Caenorhabditis elegans: one gene and its partner. The protein of the gene in region 1 purifies or fractionates together with the protein of each later gene. This does not show direct contact. Each region holds a gene or a part of one and is shown on either strand. Other genes may lie near its edges. The genes, in order: T28D6.6 and F27D4.4.

The links.
Region 2: the proteins of T28D6.6 (region 1) and F27D4.4 fractionate together in Caenorhabditis elegans (co-fractionation; one large-scale study listed by BioGRID). This does not show direct contact.

What each region holds. Positions count from the first base shown.
Region 1 is NC_003281.10:11,337,810-11,347,177, reverse strand, and holds the start of T28D6.6 (Developmentally-regulated GTP-binding protein 1), read left to right. Parts: upstream 1-4,069; 5' UTR 4,070-4,099; coding exon 4,100-4,138; intron 4,139-4,191; coding exon 4,192-4,245; intron 4,246-4,331; coding exon 4,332-4,443; intron 4,444-4,930; exon of another isoform or gene 4,931-5,274; coding exon of another isoform or gene 5,275-5,403; intron 5,404-6,080; coding exon of another isoform or gene 6,081-6,238; intron 6,239-6,355; coding exon of another isoform or gene 6,356-6,708; intron 6,709-6,787; coding exon of another isoform or gene 6,788-7,233; intron 7,234-7,289; coding exon of another isoform or gene 7,290-7,472; intron 7,473-7,606; coding exon of another isoform or gene 7,607-8,044; intron 8,045-8,090; coding exon of another isoform or gene 8,091-8,216; intron 8,217-8,762; coding exon of another isoform or gene 8,763-8,864; intron 8,865-9,139; coding exon of another isoform or gene 9,140-9,241; intron 9,242-9,368. Other genes in the region: strt-10 (START domain-containing protein 10), read left to right, coding at 707-923, 1,610-1,696, 1,962-2,329, 2,620-2,754; Gamma-secretase subunit pen-2, read right to left, coding at 3,175-3,243, 3,518-3,704, 3,774-3,823; T28D6.5 (CUB domain-containing protein), read right to left, coding at 5,275-5,403, 6,081-6,238, 6,356-6,708, 6,788-7,233, 7,290-7,472, 7,607-8,044, 8,091-8,216, 8,763-8,864 and 1 more.
Region 2 is NC_003279.8:7,720,805-7,729,817, forward strand, and holds F27D4.4 (Zinc finger CCCH domain-containing protein 15 homolog), read left to right. Parts: upstream 1-4,214; 5' UTR 4,215-4,224; coding exon 4,225-4,486; intron 4,487-4,534; coding exon 4,535-4,684; intron 4,685-4,732; coding exon 4,733-4,815; intron 4,816-4,866; coding exon 4,867-5,055; intron 5,056-5,174; coding exon 5,175-5,318; intron 5,319-5,404; coding exon 5,405-5,506; intron 5,507-5,559; coding exon 5,560-5,674; intron 5,675-5,767; exon of another isoform or gene 5,768-5,835; intron 5,836-5,992; coding exon 5,993-6,072; 3' UTR 6,073-6,308; downstream 6,309-9,013. Other genes in the region: F27D4.7 (Vesicle transport protein), read right to left, coding at 3,190-3,504, 3,599-3,682, 3,761-3,850; bckd-1B (2-oxoisovalerate dehydrogenase subunit beta, mitochondrial), read left to right, coding at 6,463-6,861, 6,908-7,381, 7,717-7,803, 7,867-8,007; F27D4.8 (Chromate transporter), read left to right, coding at 8,398-8,547, 8,895-8,999.

The DNA of each region.
Region 1 (9,368 bases):
CTATTTAAGAAACTCGGTCACTAATCTTGAAAAATCGATCATCAATTTTAAAAACTCGGCCACTTATTATTAAAACTCGGCCGTCGATTTTGAAAACTCGGCCACCAATTATGAAAACTCTGCTAACAATTTTAGAAACTCGGCCACCAATTTTAAAAGCTTGGCCGTCAATTTGTCACCTATTATAAAAACTCGGCCATCATTTGGATAAACTCGGCCACCAATATTAAAAACTCGGTCACCAATTATGAAAACTCTGCTAATAATTCCAAAAACTCGGCCACCAATTTTTTTTCCCAAATTCTTTGTTTCGTCCATCAATTTCCGTGTTTGAAACCGCTCCCTTTCCGATTGACTTTTTCCTCTATTCTCAATGCCCCCGCAACAAATGTGTTCGCCCCTCTTAAAAATTTATGATTTTTATGGGCGGCGACCGCCCGCGTATTTCCTCCAAAAAGCAACGTATTCGGGCATCAAGCTTACACGACACGTGGCCGTGCAAGAAAAACCTCGGCCACGTGTCGCGAGCAAACAGTGCGTGAGCTCACAGCTGAGCTGACACAAAGTTCAGGACTCCTTCCTGCGTCTCTGGTTTTTTTTCCAAAATTGTCATTCATTTGCCACCGACTTCCACTTTTTTGTGCTGCTTCCGTTTCTTTTTCAGACTTTTTTGTTTTAAAATTCATTACTTCAGACTTCGAAGCTCATGCGGGTCAATGTGGCAAGAGTTTGGGAGGACTCGGATTATGAAAAAGTGAAAAATCTTTGTGAGGATAGTGAAGGATGGGTAGAAGTTTACAAGAAGAAGGATATCACAATATGCACTCAGAATATCGAGAAAAGTAGTTATCAAATGATTAAGGCTATTGCACAACTTCCAGATGTTTCTGCAACAGTTGTCTATGATGTGTTACATGATTCAGGTTAGTTGTTTTGGTTCTGTAGAAGTGCTCTAGGGGTACTGTAGGGGTAGTATAGCAGTACTGTAGGGGTACTGTAGGAGACTAGAGGGGCACAGTAGGAATCTTGTAGTGGTACTGTAGTGGTACTGTAGGGGGACTAGAGGGGTACTGTATTGGTACTGTAGGGGGATCAGAGGGGTACTGTATTGGTACTGTAGGGGGATCAGAGGGGTACTGTATTGGTACTGTAGGGGGACTTGAGGGGTTCTGTAATGATAATGTAGTGGTACTGTAGTGGTACTGTAGGGGTCTAGAGAGGTACTGTAGTGATACTGTAGGGGATTGTAGTGGTTATGTAGGATAGTGTAATGATACTGTAGGGGGACTAGAGGGGTACTGTAGCAGTACTGTAGTGATACTGTATTGGTACAGTAGCCGTACTGTAGGGGGACTAGAGGGGTTCTGTAATGATACTGTAGTGGTACTGTATTGGTACTGTAGGGGGATCAGAAGGGTACTGTAGTGATACTGTAGTGGAACTGTAGGATAATGTAATGGTACTGTAGGGGGACTCGAGGAGTATTGTAGTGGTACTGTAGGGTGATCACATGGGTACTGTAGTTATACTATAGTGGTACTTCGTTGGTACTGTAGGAGTACTGTAGTGGTACTGTATTGGGAATTTCTGTAAAATTCCCTTTTTCCAGCTTATCGAGCAAAATGGGACAAGTACATGATAAAACAAGAGACGATTGGTACAATTAATCCAAATAATGATGTTTGCTATTATTCATGTAAGTTTTTTTTGGACTTTATCGATTTTTTTGAAGAATTATTGATTTTTTCGGATTTAACACACGTGATCTCAGAGTGTCTCATTTTGGCTTGATCTACAAAAAATGCGGGAGAAGAGACGCAGAGTTCTCAACTGATTTCGCATGGTTAAGAACGGGCTGACGTCACATTTTTTTGGGCAAAAAATTCCCTCATTTTTTGTAGATCAAACCGTAATGGGACACTCTGACACCACGTGCTAACATTGTATGATTTTATTTCCAGTAAACTCTGTATCACCAATCCGCCCACGCGATTTCGTAATGCAACGAAGCTGGCTGGAAACCGACAAAGACCGTCTAATCTGCTCACATTCGGTATGCCACGAAGACTATCCACCGGCAAAAGGATGTATTCGAGCCACGGTGCTCATTTCCGGATACCTAATCAAAGAAAAAGAGCAAGGATGTGAAGTTATCTATATAAGTCATTCGGATCCAAAGGGAAAACTTCCCACGTGGCTTGTGAACAGAGTTACGAAGGTGGTGGCGCCGAAGGTTATAAAGAAGTTGCACAAGGCATGTTTGGGATATCCAGAGTGGAAGGAGAAACATCATCCTACGTGGAAACCGTGGAGTGTACCGGAGCAACAGGTGAGTTCATGAGCTAGCTCGAAAATTGAAAAAAAAAAGTTTGTTTTCTTCAATTGTGGCAAAATATCATCGAAAACAATCAAAAATGAAACGAAACTATCTGAAAACGTTTAAATTCACAGAGTTTCGCTAATACCTACCGGGACCCAACGTTTCGGGGCGGAACGCTTTTACTTGGCCTTGGAGCGCGCTTGCATCTCGATTTTAAAAGGCACAGCTGCATAATATCGCTGCTTTTGATAATTTTCTTATGGAAAAACGCGGAAAAACTTAATTTTATCGATTTTCAGATGGATTTGCCACGTGTCGATTTGCTGAAATGTCAGCCAAAAGATTATGAACAGGAAATAATTGACGAATCGAATTTATCGGCGATGAGCATAAGCACCAAGGATGACGAAGACGAGGATTCTTTGAAAAACTGATTTTTTTAAAAATTTTCTTTAAATTTATTGATTTTCACTCTTTTTTATTGATTTATTGATTTTTTCCTTACAATTTTAATTGCTACAGTAATCTTAAAGGCGCATATCCCAAACACATGCTTTCACTGCGAGACCAAGCTTATACAAAAACGATGCCCCCCTTTAAAGTTGCTACGGTAGCCATTTTTTTTAAATGTTTTTTGTTAGTCTTGGATTAGATTTAAATCGATTTCTGTGATGATTTTTTGCCGAAAATTAAAAATTAAACATATAATTGGACATATTCATTTATTAATCGGTGAGAATAAATATTGAAACAATAAATACATCAAATTTAACGCCCAGAAGCGCCAGGAGATCAAAATAGAAGACGATAAGAACCAGTGGAGAAAAATCAATCAATAATTGGAATTTTGAGCTTCAAACTCGTCCCGTCGGGAAGACAAATGTCAGGAAATCGGTCCACACGAGGCCTTGAGCGCGGTAGTGCTGAAATTTTTGAATTTTTCAGAAAAAAATCGAAAAATTAGAGTATGAACATGTTTTTGTGCAAATTTTCTGCGTTTTTTTTCGCTAAATTTTTAGGAAAACATTTGGGAAAGTTCTATTTTTGAAGAATTTTTGAATTTGAAGTTTTTTCTCCAAAAACTTCGAACTTTTGGTTTTTTTTTCAATTTTCAGTGAAAATTAGACTTTTAAGGAAAGCGTTTTTCCAGCAAAATATTTCCCAGCAAAAGTATTCAATTTTTCTGATTTTTTCTACCTGGAAAAAGATTTCCCAGGCGCTGAGCACAATAATCCAGAAAATCGAGCCAACAATGCTGGCGATCACGTATTTCCGAATCTGTCGTCGATGTGCGTTGATCGGTTTGCAAAACGCGTCGGAAAAAAACCAAAATGTGTTGACAATCCATACGAGCGGCAGAAAACACGCGCCGATCAGGAAATACCTGGAAAAATCGATTTTTTGAATAGGGAAATTAGATTTTTTTTTTGAAAAAATGTGAAAATTAACTCACTTTTTACATAAATCAACTTTTTTCACGTCGGTTAGCTTTGAAATATCCATAATATGCAAAAAATTAGCTCAAAATTGAGGAAAGAATAAATAAATAAATATTTTTCGTCAAATGTGGCGCCGAGTACGCAACCAAAACAGCTCGGTGTTTGCGTACTTTGGCAATTTCCAAAAAGTGCATTTTCCACTAATTCACCCCTAATTTCCTCGTTTTTCACCGATTTTCTTAATTTTTCCGTCTAATTTTTGCTTATTTTGCTCACAAAGTGCCTATAAATCACTATTCAACTATTACAGAACCTGTAAAACCCGAAAAACCCGTTGAAAATGTCGGTTTTGCAAAAAATCGCGGATATCGAGGCCGAGGTGAGCACGCGGAAGCTTTTCAATGCAAATTTTGAGAATAAAATGATTTTCAGATGGCTAGAACTCAAAAGAACAAGGCCACCAACGCTCACTTGGGTATTCTGAAGGTAAGAGGAGGATTTTGCAAAAAAAAATCGAAATTTTTTTTAATTTTTCCGCCAAAAAATCCACCAATTCATTTATATTTGTCCAGGCAAAACTCGCAAAGCTCCGTCGTGATTTGATCACTCCAAAAGGCGGTGGCGGTGGTCCAGGAGAGGGTTTCGACGTCGCAAAGACCGGAGACGCCCGTATCGGATTTGTTGGTGTGTTTTTAGTGGAATTTTGCAATAAAAAATTACCAAAAAATTGTAATTTTCTCTAAATTTATGGCAATATCTGGAAAAAACACTGAAAATGTGTAACATAGCTCATAAAAATCGTCAAAAAGGTTCTGAATAGTTCTCATCTATTTTTTGACAAAAAATCTCAAAAAATAAATTAAAATGGCGAAAATTGATCCCACCAAGATTGTTCAGCATCATATTTTCCTTAATTTTGCAGATTTTCCGATAAAAATCTTTAAAAAACCACTCAAAATGTAAATTTTTCAACATTTCTCCAATAAAAATGAGCATTTTCTGAAAAAAAAAATACCCAAAAAAATTCGGAAATTGATAAATTTTATTTTAAAAATGGACTAGAAGCTATAAAAAAATTCTTGAAATTTTTTTTCTAAATTTCCGCAAAAATGTGATATTTTTGTGAAAACCCACAATTTAACCTGAAAAAATCTTAAAAATTGTATTTTTTTTTCCCGAAAGATCGGTCAAAAAACTTTATTTTTTGCGAATTCACAAAAACTTACAGGCACACGGGATTGGGGGAAAGAGAGGGTAATTTATTTTGAAAAAATAAAAAAAATCTACTACGAGCCAAAAAAAATCTAATTTTATTCTACACCGGGGTGATAAAAAGCGAGAAACGACGAAAAATTGGTTTTTAAAATTTTAAGTATTTTTTTACAATTTTTAATAAATAGGAAAATATAAAAATTTTGGGGGGGAAAAGAAAAAGGGGTCGAAAGATTGATTTGAGCAATTTGAAAAGGCAAAAAATACATATATTTATGGGGGGAAAATGATGGATCAAAAACGCTATCGAAGATCATCTTCATCCTCTTCGCTCATCTCCTGACTCCGTTGATGATGCATTTGATTATTGGATCCCGAACCGGATTCTGGTGGAGAATCAGGGAACATTCCTGGTGGCGGTGGTGGTAGTGACTGCAAAAATTGGAAGTTTTGGGTGGAAAATTGAGGTTTTTGGGGCGAAAAAATTGGAGGTTTTTGACTGGAAAATTTGGAGGTTTTAGCTGGAAAATTGAGGATTTTTTTGGCCTAAAATTGGAGGTTTTTGGCGGAAAAATGGGGGATTTTTAGCTGGAAAATTGAGGTTTCCGGTAAAAAATTATGGGTTTTCTGGATGAAATTATGGGGATTTTTGGCTGAAAATGTAAAACTTTTCCTCTAATACATAAATCCCATACAGCTCATTTCTCCCACTCTTGCTGGAAATTGAGACTTGGAGTTCGAAATAACAGATTTTGGCTCCAAGTTCATCATTTTCATCCCAAAGTTTTTTTGCTGAAATTTCAATATTTCAACTGAAGATTCAGATTTTTTGGCGTAAAATTGATGTTTTTAGCTGAAAACATAGATTTTTGGCTGAAAATCGAGAGGTCAAACTGAATTTCCAGAATTTCTGTCTTAAAAAAACTCCATTTTTCTAAGGGAAATTTGCAGTTTCTCAGTAAATTCAAGATTACACAGTTTTGAGCTAGAAAATCGGTTTTTCTAGAGAATTTTCAAGCTGTGCGGAAAACATTGGTGAACTGTTAGAAAGCACATCAGGCACAAGAATCGGAAAGTTAGTAAATTTATGTGACAAAAAATGGTGTTACCTTCATCGGCACAAAATCTAAGTCAGTGTCTAAATCCACGACAATCGGAGGCTGGGGAGAAAGTTCCTCTCGGAGACGTTCGTACACGAAATCGTCATCTTTTTCGGCGATTTCGGCGTCTTTTCCGTCATCCTGTACCCTGGCGGGCTCTTCCTCTTCTGAAAGTGATTAAGGAATAGAGAGAGAGAGAGAGAAATCCCAAAAGAAGAAGAAAAGAACACTGTTTAGAAGTTAGATTTTTCAAAAAAAAAACTTGAAATCTCAAAAAATCTCACCTTCCGAATCAGACTCGGTGTTGTGATTCAAGTGATTCTGAATATGATTCTGAATCGGAGAGGATGGAGGTGTCTCTGTTCGTTTCTTGTTCAAATCCTTGAGATCCTGCTGATCCTCCGACCCTGGAAGCATCCTTCCTTGCGACTCGGCCTCCTTCACCAGCTCGGCCTTCGCCATCGCCTTCTTCCAGTCCAACTCCTCCCGCGTCACATCCTCATCGTCGCTCATTTTATAGTAAACGTCGACTTCGCCTTCCTCACTCGAAGACCACCGATCCTCCTCGTCGACGGATCCTTTGATGCTGTTGATCGGAACCGGCGCGTCGAGTGGTTCGGCCAGAGGGTCGTCGGATCTGAATTTTTGGGAATTTTTTCTTAGAAATATTGATGAATATCGGGAGAATGTTACGAATTATCCGGATCTAAAATTACCTCAACGGCTTCAACTCTGGAATATCTAACTGCCCCTCCATCTCATCAATTCGACTTCCTCTCCGAGACCTTGGCCTTGCAAATACTGGACTTCCACCACTCCGCAGTCCTTTCAAATCCGTATCCACTTCGTCTTCCTCATACCGCTTCCCTGTGTGATTTTGCATCACCAGCGGTAGATCCGGAGTGTCGGACTGCAGTAGGACCATCGGCGGAGCATATTTACCCGATGCGTCATCCCATGGATCTTCGATTGGAGACTTTGGAATCTCGTCCGTCGGACTACTCGATGAGGCTCTGCTCTTGTGATATTGATCCTCGACATAGTCGGAGAAATCCTTCGACGGTGGGAATATCGCTTCGGAGCTGGTGGTGGCTTGAGATGAAAGGACTGGTGACACGTTTTTGTGTAGATTCCCATTGTTCTCAGTTCGCTTTGTGAGAATCTACAAAGATATTAGAGATAATCAATAAATAGCTACTTGATTTGTTGAAAACTCACCGGCGACTCTTCCTTCGATCCTTTCAAGTCATCCGTCGGCTTCGGCGTTGTAGTTGTAGCCGCTGGCTGGTGCTGATATGAGTCCACAAAGTTTGTCGGATACGTTGGCTCTCGTGGAAGCTGGGAAGCGTCGCACTTGAACCAATTTCGCATTTGTCTCTGCGGAAGAGACTGCGAGTTGTCCTTTAAACGAATTTCGTAAGAAGACTTTTTTTAAATTTAGCTAAAAATAGCTTGGTTTTATCAAACGAATTTTGAAAAGTTTCAATTCGAATTTCGTTCAATTTGAACACGCCCTTTAAAACGAATAAACTCACGTCTGGAATCTCATCAATCTGGCCATAGGTCAGTGGGATTGTCTCTTCGGCGTGCACCATGTGCCCATTCCTCGATGGCTTCCGCTTCTGGCTCTCACAAGTTCCATAATTCTTCGCATCAACTGAAGCGACATGGCTCGTCTCTGCCAGCTTAGCTTCTCGCTTAGCTTTACTCTTCCGTCTCACCCACCGGAAGCATTGAATCAATGCGATGCAGTAGGTGGCAGCGAAAAAGGTGGCAATCGCACAGACGATGGTGATCAACGTCTTATTGCTCTTCTGATTGTCCAGCCGTTGCTCTGGAGTAATGTAGCTCAGAGCGCCAGCCGCTGGCACTGCGTAGTTCCGCTTCATCTTCGCCGTGCGGACACTGTCGATTTTGATGCCTCCGAGCACGCGAGAAAGTGGTCCCACTTGACTGGCAATGATGTATTTGATCTGGAAATTGTGGATTATTAGCAAAAAGAAAGCTGAGATGATTTACCTTAATCGGATCAATAATCGTATCCTCATTCACCACTCCATTATTCCTATCGTTTTTCGTCAAAACGAAGAGTAATCTGGTGAGATTACCCTTCAAATGGTCCATACGAAGAATCACAACATTTTCCTGCAAAAAAGTGCTGTCAGAAAAGCCGAAAGAAAGGATCCTAGGTGTAGAAGTAAAGCCGTTATTCGCAAAGGTGGGCGGCAAACGATTTTTTTCGGCAAATCGGCAAATTGCCGGAGTTGAAACTTTTTGACAAATCGACAAATTGCCGGAGTTGAACATTTCCGGCAAATCGACAAATTCCCGAAATGGAAAATTTCCGGCAAATTCCCGAAATTGAAAATTTCCGGAAAATCGACAAATTGCCGGTATTGAAAGTTTCCGGCAAATCTGCAAATTGCCAGAATTGAAAGTTTCCGGCAAATCGACAAATTGCCGGAATTCAAATTCCGGCAAATCAACAAATCGTCGGAATTGAAAATTTCCGGCAAATCGGCAAGTTCCCGAAATTGAAAATTTCCGGCAAATCGGCAAATTGTCAGAATTGAAAATTTCCGGCAAATCAGAAAACCGGCAATTCGTCGATTTGTCAAATTTGTCGCCAAAAAAATTTGCCGAACGGCGATTGCCGCCCACCGCTGCTTATTCGCAAAGAATGATGCACACCTTTGTGAAAAGTGGGTCCGACTCGTCACGCTCGGCATACACGACCGATCTGTCTAGATCAAGCTCGTCGGCCTCTTCATCGCTCAATTTTTGGAGCATTTCCTTCAAAAATTTGGTGGATTTTGTTGTGGAAAACCCCACAATGCATAAAACATAATATAATTAATCAGAGAAAATCAAGAGAACCGAGCATTTTGGTAAAAAGTGATCACGACGACGAATACGTGGGTTAAATGGTTGATTTTTTGCAAATCAATCGAATATAATCGTGCGTGACGTTGCTCAGCCAATTTCAGCAATTTTAAGGCTTTTTCTAGATGAAAAGCTTTGGCTACTTGCGATAGAAAAGGAAAGAAGAAGAAAAAAACGTGCAATACCTGACTCACATGACTCATGCGTAGAGTAACACCCGGGCACTCATTCGCATTGTGCTGACAGTAATGGGAGACTATAGTCGAGATCCGTCGCTTGAAGTACTCCTGAATCTCGTTTTTGAGCTTATCTATTTAAAAGTTGTCGCGACCAATTTCCAAGGCTATATTCCCTCTGAGAGATCACCGACCAATCAGCGATTCGCCCCGCCTACTTTTGAACCAATCAGATGAA
Region 2 (9,013 bases), on another chromosome or scaffold:
TAAACAACTATGTAGTTGATCACATTGCCATAATAGTAAATGCCTTTTTTGAACTTAGGGGTTCTACTGAACCCCAGGTTTTCGTCTGAAATCGTGCTCTGAACATCGAAACTAAAAAAAAAACAATCAAATTTACATTTTTCTATAACATATGAACAAATTAAGAAAAGTTTTCAAAACAAAAAATTTTCGAAAAAATTTTAGAAAATTTTCATAAGGGGGACCGTTTGGATTTTTTTCAAAAAAAAATTCAAAATTTTTTTTTTCAAAATTAGTCAAATATTTATCAGATATTGTAAAAATATGTTTCCCTAACTGCATCTATGTACTTTCTTGCCAAATGTGGTGCTTTCGAAAACTAAGAAACTGTAAAAACCTCTATTCCTCTAACTGATCTACCTACTATGCCAGTTTTTCGAAGTCATGTCCCACATCGGGCAAGCAAGATATCAAAAAACTGTCAACTACAAACTTGATCAGGTTGTTATAGAACATGTTTCATGTTTCATAGTTTCTTGCTTTCTGTGCAGAGTACGGAGATATCATAAGTCAAAAATAGTAATATTTGACTCATAATTAGGTGCTCCTACCTGCTCAGCCATCCGAGAAGGCAAAAAGTTACAATAAGTAATTTGTCAATCCCGTTATTCCTAACAACTTTTTAGTTGACAAGTTTTTCATATTTCAGCTGCCTGCGGAGCTAGAACGTTTTGGAAGTACTGACTTTCTATGAACAAGCCAAATCGACTGTTGTATTTTTTTGCCCAGGAGTATGATTGATCCATGAAAACTGTGGAAAATACTAAAATTTACATTTCCTACACAATCCAGCAGTATTAAATTTTTTTGGAAGAACAATTTTTTCCCAAAAATGTTTCATAAGGGGGGACCCTTATCAAAATTTTAAAATAGTGGAAAATATTTTTAATTACATTTTACTGAACTCAATTTTTTTTCAATTATTTGTTGGTTTCAATCACAAATCACATTTACGACTCAAAGTGATTTTTTCTTTTCTACGACTTCAATATAAGAGCGAGAAAGCATTTCAAAAGAAGCTCTAAACTCAGATGGCAACGACACTCCGAAATAACGGTAGCGCGCCCTCTTTAGCGTAAATCCTCCTCATTTTCGAAATTATTTTTTCACGATTTTTTCTTCCTTTTCTTCGATTTTTCTTTGTTTTCTTCATCAATTCTTTGATTTTTCGGCAAAAATAATTATTTTCCGTATATTTATTGGTGTTTCAGCATTTTCGACATTGACGCGAACGATTGGGATGGCACGGAAATGGCTGGATGAGAGAATTACCGGCGGTGGCGACAACATTGCTTCGCGAAGAACTAAAGATGGAAGAAAAGGTTAAAGTTGAACTCAAAAATGAAGTTATTTATAACAATTTATGTTTTCAGAGTCGTGCAGAGTCGTCGCCTCTTCGACATTGACCACAAGCGTCCGCTAAACCACCTCATCCTTCCATTTTGATGAAAATCAACGTAAAAAGGAACTAAAAAATGAAGAAGCTGTGAAGTAGATTCAAAAGAAAGTAGAAGAATCGAGCCTCACGCGAATACTTTGACAGGCAAACACAAGTTAATAAGAGATGCGAACAATTCTCATCGATTGGTTCAGCGATGCCGTGAAAGAGTACAATTTCCAAAAGGAAACATTTCATATCGCGGTGATCCTCGTGGACCTTGCTCTCCCAATGTTCAATATTGATAAAATGCGATTTCAACTGGTTGGAATGACGTCGATGATGATCATAGTGTATGTTCATAATAAAATATTTCAATGTAATGTAAATTTTAAAAATTTTAGAAAATACGACGAAATCTTCCCACCAGTCGAGTACCCGACATTATTTTGATGGAGCGATTCTTGATTGGAAAGTTCGAATTTGTTGTCGCTAAGCCCACACTATCTTGGCTCGGATCATGATTTGCAAAGAGAATTAACCTTACAAAGTGAGTTTTAAAATCATAATTTTTTTAGCGTTTGGAAAAAACTAGCGATTTCTCTCAACTTTAACGTTAATTTTTTATAGAAAGATGCGGAATGCTGTCAAACTCCTCGAGCTGTCGCTGATAGATGATCATTTTCTACGTTACCGCCCATCTGATGCTGCTTAGAATCACCGAATCAACAATTCGACCAAGTGGCTGCTAATGATGGATCCAAGGAATCGGGAATCGAGACGAGGCTCACACTAAGCCGAAATATTAAATAATATTAATGTTTTTTTCCCTTTTTTCAGATTTATTTTTTCATTTTTCATGTTGAATAAACACAATTTTTGGCAATTTTTTTAATAAACAAACATTTTAATAAACAAAAAGCAGTATTCCCGGTATATATGGACCTAATACAGAATCTACAAGAACCTGACACAAACCTGACGTTGACCTGTTACCGGCCCGCGGCGGCTTAGTGTCAACTTGACAGCGGGCCGCGATTTCACCTGCCAGTTGTTCTCCATTCAGCAGCCAGCGACCTGCTGGCAGGTTGCCACTAACCTGACGCGCTTTACCTGTGCCACGGAAGCGGCCATTTTCTGATGGAACTGATAAAATGGCTAGCCTAAGGGAGTCCATCCAAGAGAAATAAGTGTACTATCAGGAGGACATAAGAGGCGACAAAAATGTGTAGAGGTAATGTATTTTGCTTTTTATTGGATGAAATACTCTCAGTAGCTTACATTTATTGCAGTGGCTTAATTAAAAACCGAGGGCGGGTCTCACAGCGATTGAAAATTTTTCAGAAAGGTTGCCCGCCGGCACGTGCGCCTTTAAACAGTACTCTAATTAAGAAACGCGTCTCTCTAAATACTTTTCATAGATTAACTGATATTTACAAAAAATTGCCTTAAAGAAATTCGAGTCCTAATGTTGGAGCCATTAAAATTTCAAAATAAATGAAACTCACCATTAAAATTGGCAAGGATTTTTTAATGGTAATTGATAGCTTTATTCAATATTATACAATAAGAATTATGAAGCAATTGATGCTGATATCATGGCGACAGAAGCTGTGAAATCATGGTGAATTAAAATTTAAGTACAGACAATCACAATAGATTAGGTAAAAGCTCTCACAACCGGATGATGGCAAATCTCAAAATTAATAATAGAAAGGGAAATGGGACAGTCGAGGGTAAAATAATTTCAATAAGTATTCAACATGAAATATTTAGAAGAAGATCTTTGAGACAGCTTCTCTTGCATAAGGAATGTATGAAAGTGAGTACCAAGCCATTGCAATGTACTGTCCAGCAGTACAAATTATTGCGAGAAGAGAATTTTTCAGGACGAGACCGGAAAGTAATGTTAGAAAAATGAACAAAATATACATAGATGAGGCAATCCAACGACTTTTATCGAACATTTTCTTGATTTGTCCGATTGGTCCCATTAAGCAGCACGTGCTCGAAAGGGAAAGAATTGCACTGATTGAAGTCATTATACAGAAACCGGTGATTTTTGTGAGGAGAAGGAGGTAGCTTCCCTGAAAGCATAAATGAATTATATTTACAGACGGACTATCAAGCTTAATTTTTATGATTACAAATTTCATGTTCATTTCAAAAAACATAACTTACACAGAAACTGGCGATTATTGACAAAATAAAGAGCCCGACGAACGATTGAACTCGAAGCTCCCACGACATTCCTGTTGTCACTGTCTGAAACATTTTTCATAAATCTATCTTTGTTTTTTATTTGGTTTTTGATAAGAATTCAATGTGATAAAAACGACTTACAGGCTGCGAAGGTGATTCCTGAGAAATAGAGGGCCCATTGAGATTGTTTGGGTTTTCCGGATCACTGTTCCGGTGAACACTGCCAAACATTACTGAAAAATGTAAAAATTCGATTAAAACGTTGATAAATAATCAAAATACAAATAAAACCGATAAAATAAAAGTTAAGAGAATAAAATCACAATATGCGCGAACGAGACATCACTGGCGCAGTTCCCGTTTCATTGACGCATTTCTCGATGCAATGTTTTTTCAGCGATCACTGAACACGTTTTTAACCTGTTTTAAGCTCCTTTTTGAAGTTATTATCGATTTTTTTTGTGAAATATTGTGAAATTATATTTTCTGCCACTTTTTATTTTATTTCCAAATGCCTATCAAATCTTCTTCATTTTTTATATGCTAATTTAGGATTGAAACTTTTAAAAATAAATATGCAAACCTTTAAATTAAGATCTGCAACCATGCCGCCGAAGCAACAAGGGCCTAGTAAAAAGTCCGAGCAAAAGCGCAAGGAGAAAGTTATCGAGGACAAGACGTTCGGATTGAAAAACAAGAAAGGAAATAAAAACCAGAAGTTTGTGGCACAAGTTGAAAATCAAGTCCGTAACAACAATACTCGTATGGATCTTGTCCGACAACAAGAAGCAGCTAAAAAAAAAGAAAAAGACGAGCTTCTCGATATTGCCAATCTTTTGAAACCTGTGGAACAAAAAGTCGCAAAAGGTTGCCACTTTTAGATCGAAAAAAATTAAACTGTTGTGAATTTTTCAGATGTCGATCCAAAATCTCTTCTCTGTGTATTCTTCAAACAAGGTCTTTGCGGAAAAGGAGCAAAGTGCAAATTCAGTCACGATTTGGCAGTTGCTCAGAAGACAGCGAAGAAGAACCTGTATGCAGACAGCAGAGAAGTCGAAAAAGACGGTTTGCACCAAATTAAACGTTTTTTTTTGTAATTTCTAAGCATTCCAGAAGAAACAAACGAGAACTGGGACTCGGACAAATTGAATGAAGTGGTCAATAAGAAAAATAAAAATAAACATATGATTGATATTGTAAGCAGTTTCATGACAGACATTTTTAAGTTTAAAAAATTGAATTTTAAGGTTTGCAAGTACTTCTTGGAAGCTGTAGAGAACAACAAGTACGGTTGGTTTTGGGAATGTCCGAATGGAGGAGAAAAATGTCAATATCGGCATTGTCTACCAGAAGGATATGTTTTGAAAAAGGAACGGAAAGCAATGGAGCAACAAAAAGAAGATGAAATTAGTATTGAGGAACTTGTTGAGAAAGAGGTATACTTATAGGGGAAAATAGTGGCAAAAACATTGTTAAAAGTTATTTCAATTTGAAAGACCACATAAATTAAATTTTATTCCAATTTTTCGTAAGAATTATAGTTTAACATTTCCAGAGAGCCGCTTTGAGTTCGAAAAATCTCACAAAATTAACACTCCAAACCTTCATTGCCTGGAAGAAGAAGAAGTTAAGAGAGCGAAAAGAGAAAGAAGAAGCCGATTTGAAAGAAAAGAAAGAGAAGATCAAATCTGGAAAACATGTAAGAAATTTGAATTTTTATTTAAATTTACTACTTTAATTTCTGTTTCTCGTCTCTTTACATAAATTAATGTTTTCTTTTTTTAGAATGGAATGTCTGGACGTGATCTTTTCTTATATGACGCCAATCTGGTCAACAACGACGACGACGAGGCCGGAGATATTGAGATGGAGAAGGAAGAAGTTGATGTTAGTTTTTGAAATTAATTATTTTAATTTTACAAAAATTTAAATAATTTCAGGAGAATGAAAAGGTATTTGAAATCGATGCCAACTTCTTCAAATTCGACGGAATGGACGATGAACTGACGGATCAAATGAGCAAATCCTCGACTGCTGTTGAATCTACTGCTAAAGGTAATTTTTTTCAGTGCGTAAATAAAAAACAATTTTCGTCAAATTTGAATGGCTAATTTTTCTGTTAAAAAACTATTTTTGACACGTGGCTTTTCTCTGGCTGTCAATATCCTCATTTCATTCTTATCAACACAAAAAAATTCAAACATCATTTTGGCTGTCACTTCAAAATCTGTTATCTTTCGGCAAAAATCAATTGAATTTCTCCCTTTCCCACAGACACACGTTTTGCAAAAAAAAAAACGTTTTCTTTATTGTGTCTGGGTCTCTTGTGGCGAGCCGACACACTATCTCAAAAACTAATTTCAAAAATTGCAGGAATGGCAAAGATGGACATCAACGAGGACTTGTTCGACATTGACGAAGACGTTGAAAACCTCGATTCTGATGAGGATTGAAGAGTATACTTCTGGTGCTCCCCCTTTTTTCCTGTTCTTTTTCTGTTTTTGCTTTGAATTTCAGTGTTTCTTTTTTCCCGATTCCCCTGCTATCTATTATTATTTCTTGTTTGTCACGACTAACCGGTAGTCCCAATTTTCTCTGTATTTGATTATTTTTTTCAAATTACAAGGGACTATTATTTGAAGTTTTCTCCATTTTTTGGTGTCGTTTTGTTATAAATTCATTACAATTCAGATGATTTATTTTAATTTTGAAAAAATATCGGTTTTGCCCGATTCATTTATCTTTTATTTTAATCTTCAAATAATGCGTGAACTTTTGATTGAAAAAATTAATTAACTTGGAAATCCTATAAAAGTTTATTTTAAAATTATTGCGATCTTCAGATGAGTTCCCGAGCCGTAAGCCTCTTCTCAAAATGTGGATCCAGAATCTCCCAAACTCGAGGAAAAGCTCACTTCACGTTTCAACCATCAACCACACTTCCAGCAGGACTTGAAAATCTTGAAAAGACTAAAATGAATTTGATGCAGTCTGTTAATGAAGCGATGAGAATTGCAATGGAAACAGATGATTCTGCTGTTCTTTTTGGTGAAGATGTTGCTTTTGGTGGTGTCTTCAGATGTAGTTTGGATCTTCAAAAGAAGTTCGGAAAAGATCGAGTCTTCAATACTCCACTTTGTGAGCAGGGAATTGCTGGATTCGGAATTGGAGTCGCAGCGGCTGGAGCAACTGCCATTGCTGAGATTCAGTTTGGTGATTACATCTTCCCAGCTTATGATCAGGTAATATCCGGAATAAATATTATGGAAATAAAAAAAATTATTCCAGCTTGTCAACGAGGCAGCCAAGTTCAGATACCGTTCGGGAAATCAATTTGACTGTGGAAAACTGACTGTAAGAACAACATGGGGAGCCGTAGGACATGGAGCTCTATACCATTCACAGAGTCCTGAAGCTAACTTCACCCATACCCCAGGATTAAAGCTTGTTGTTCCACGTGGGCCAGTTCAAGCCAAAGGACTTCTTCTGTCGTGCATTCGTGATCCGAATCCATGTATTTTCTTCGAACCAAAGATTCTTTATCGATTGGCTTCTGAAGATGTTCCAACTGGAGATTACACAATTCCACTGGGACAAGCTGAAACTGTTCGTTCTGGAAAAGATTTGACACTTGTTGCCTGGGGAACACAGGTTCATGTTGCTCTTGAAGCAGCTCAATTGGCCAAGGAGAAGCTCAATGCAGATGTTGAAGTTATTGATCTTCAGACGATTCAACCTTGGGACGAGGATCATGTAGTAGAGGTGAATTATTACAAAATTCTGCGAATGCGTATTGCGCAACATATTTGACGCGCAAAATATCTCGTAACGCAAAGTACAGTAATTCTTTAAGTGACTACTGAAGCGTCGATTTACGGGCTCGATTCTTGAAATTAATTTTTTGCGATTAGTTCGTTTCTCCGTTTGGATTTTAATATTCTATCGATAAATCAATGATCTAGCCCGTAAATCGACACAAGCGCTGCAGAAGTCATTTAAAGAACTACTGTAGTTTTCGCTGCGAGATATTTTGCGTTTTTTGTTTGTGTTCGCGTAATATTTGGATGTTGAGTGATTAAATATGAATTATTTTTCAGAGTGTTCAAAAAACTGGTCGACTCATTGTCACTCATGAAGCTCCGATTTCTTCTGGTTTTGGAGCTGAAATTGCTTCTACTGTTCAGGTAAATAATTTATATTTTACTTTCCTTTTTCAAATAATAAATTAACAATCAAAAATATTACAGAAACGTTGCTTCCTGAACCTTGAATCTCCAATAGATCGTGTTGCTGGATTCGATACACCATTCCCACACGTTCACGAACCATTCTACCTGCCAACTGTTCATCGAGTTTTCGACGCAATCAAGAAGAGTGTTAACTATTAGAATATGTATTTGATATAAGAAATTATACAAGGTAACAACGAAACCGTGTAGAAAAGTAGAATATTTTCTTGTTTTAGCCTAATTTTCTGTTCAAACGGTGCCATCTGCATTTTAAATCACCCATATTTTATTCCGGTCCAAATCGCTAAACCCATCATCATAAATGTGTTGGTTTTTGACATTATATGTCGAACATTCCCTCAATTGCTCGTTTTAGATATTTTCAGTGTGCTATAGTTCTTTTATGTGTTTTATGAATAAATGTATGAATTGATTTTTCTAAAAGTATTTTCATCTTTTTTCTTCGTTGGATTCTCATCTAATATTTGATTTTTGATTTTTCCTGTAAAAACGGGAAATGCGGATTTTCAGATCTCTTCAAAAAGCGGGATGAACCATATAATAGCTGCGGGTCTTCTAATCATTGTCTCAATTGCATCAATTATTCCTGGATTTCCTGTGCTCATCTGGCTTCAGAGTTATTTCCCAGAGCTCCCAGAATATTACACAATTGATAGTATTGCTGTCTATAGTGTTCAGGTTAATATTCTCATTTTCATCAGATACCTGTAATATTACCCGGTTCCAAAATTTTGCAATTTTTGACATACAATACTTTATCTCGAAGCGACCGAAAGATCCCAGTTACCGTACCCACAAGTCTTCCTACCGCATATTTGCATCTTTCTGTTCAATGTTTTTTGCAATCACTGGAAAATTTGGAAAGAAGCTCAAATTGTAAGAAATACTGATATAAGCAACATTAAAAAGCGAGAAACTTGCGGGTACGGTAACCATGAAGTTTTCGGGCCCAAAATTGCATCTTTTCTAAACTAAGTAACTTGTAGACTGCTAATTTTGTTTCAGTTTTTGAATTTAATTTTCAGGCCGGAATTATCTTCATCCTCGGAATCCTGTCAATGTGTCTCTACTCGGACATCGCTTGCCCACTTGCCATCAAGGGATATGCTGCCATTTTTTCCAGAATGTGATTAATTAATTATAT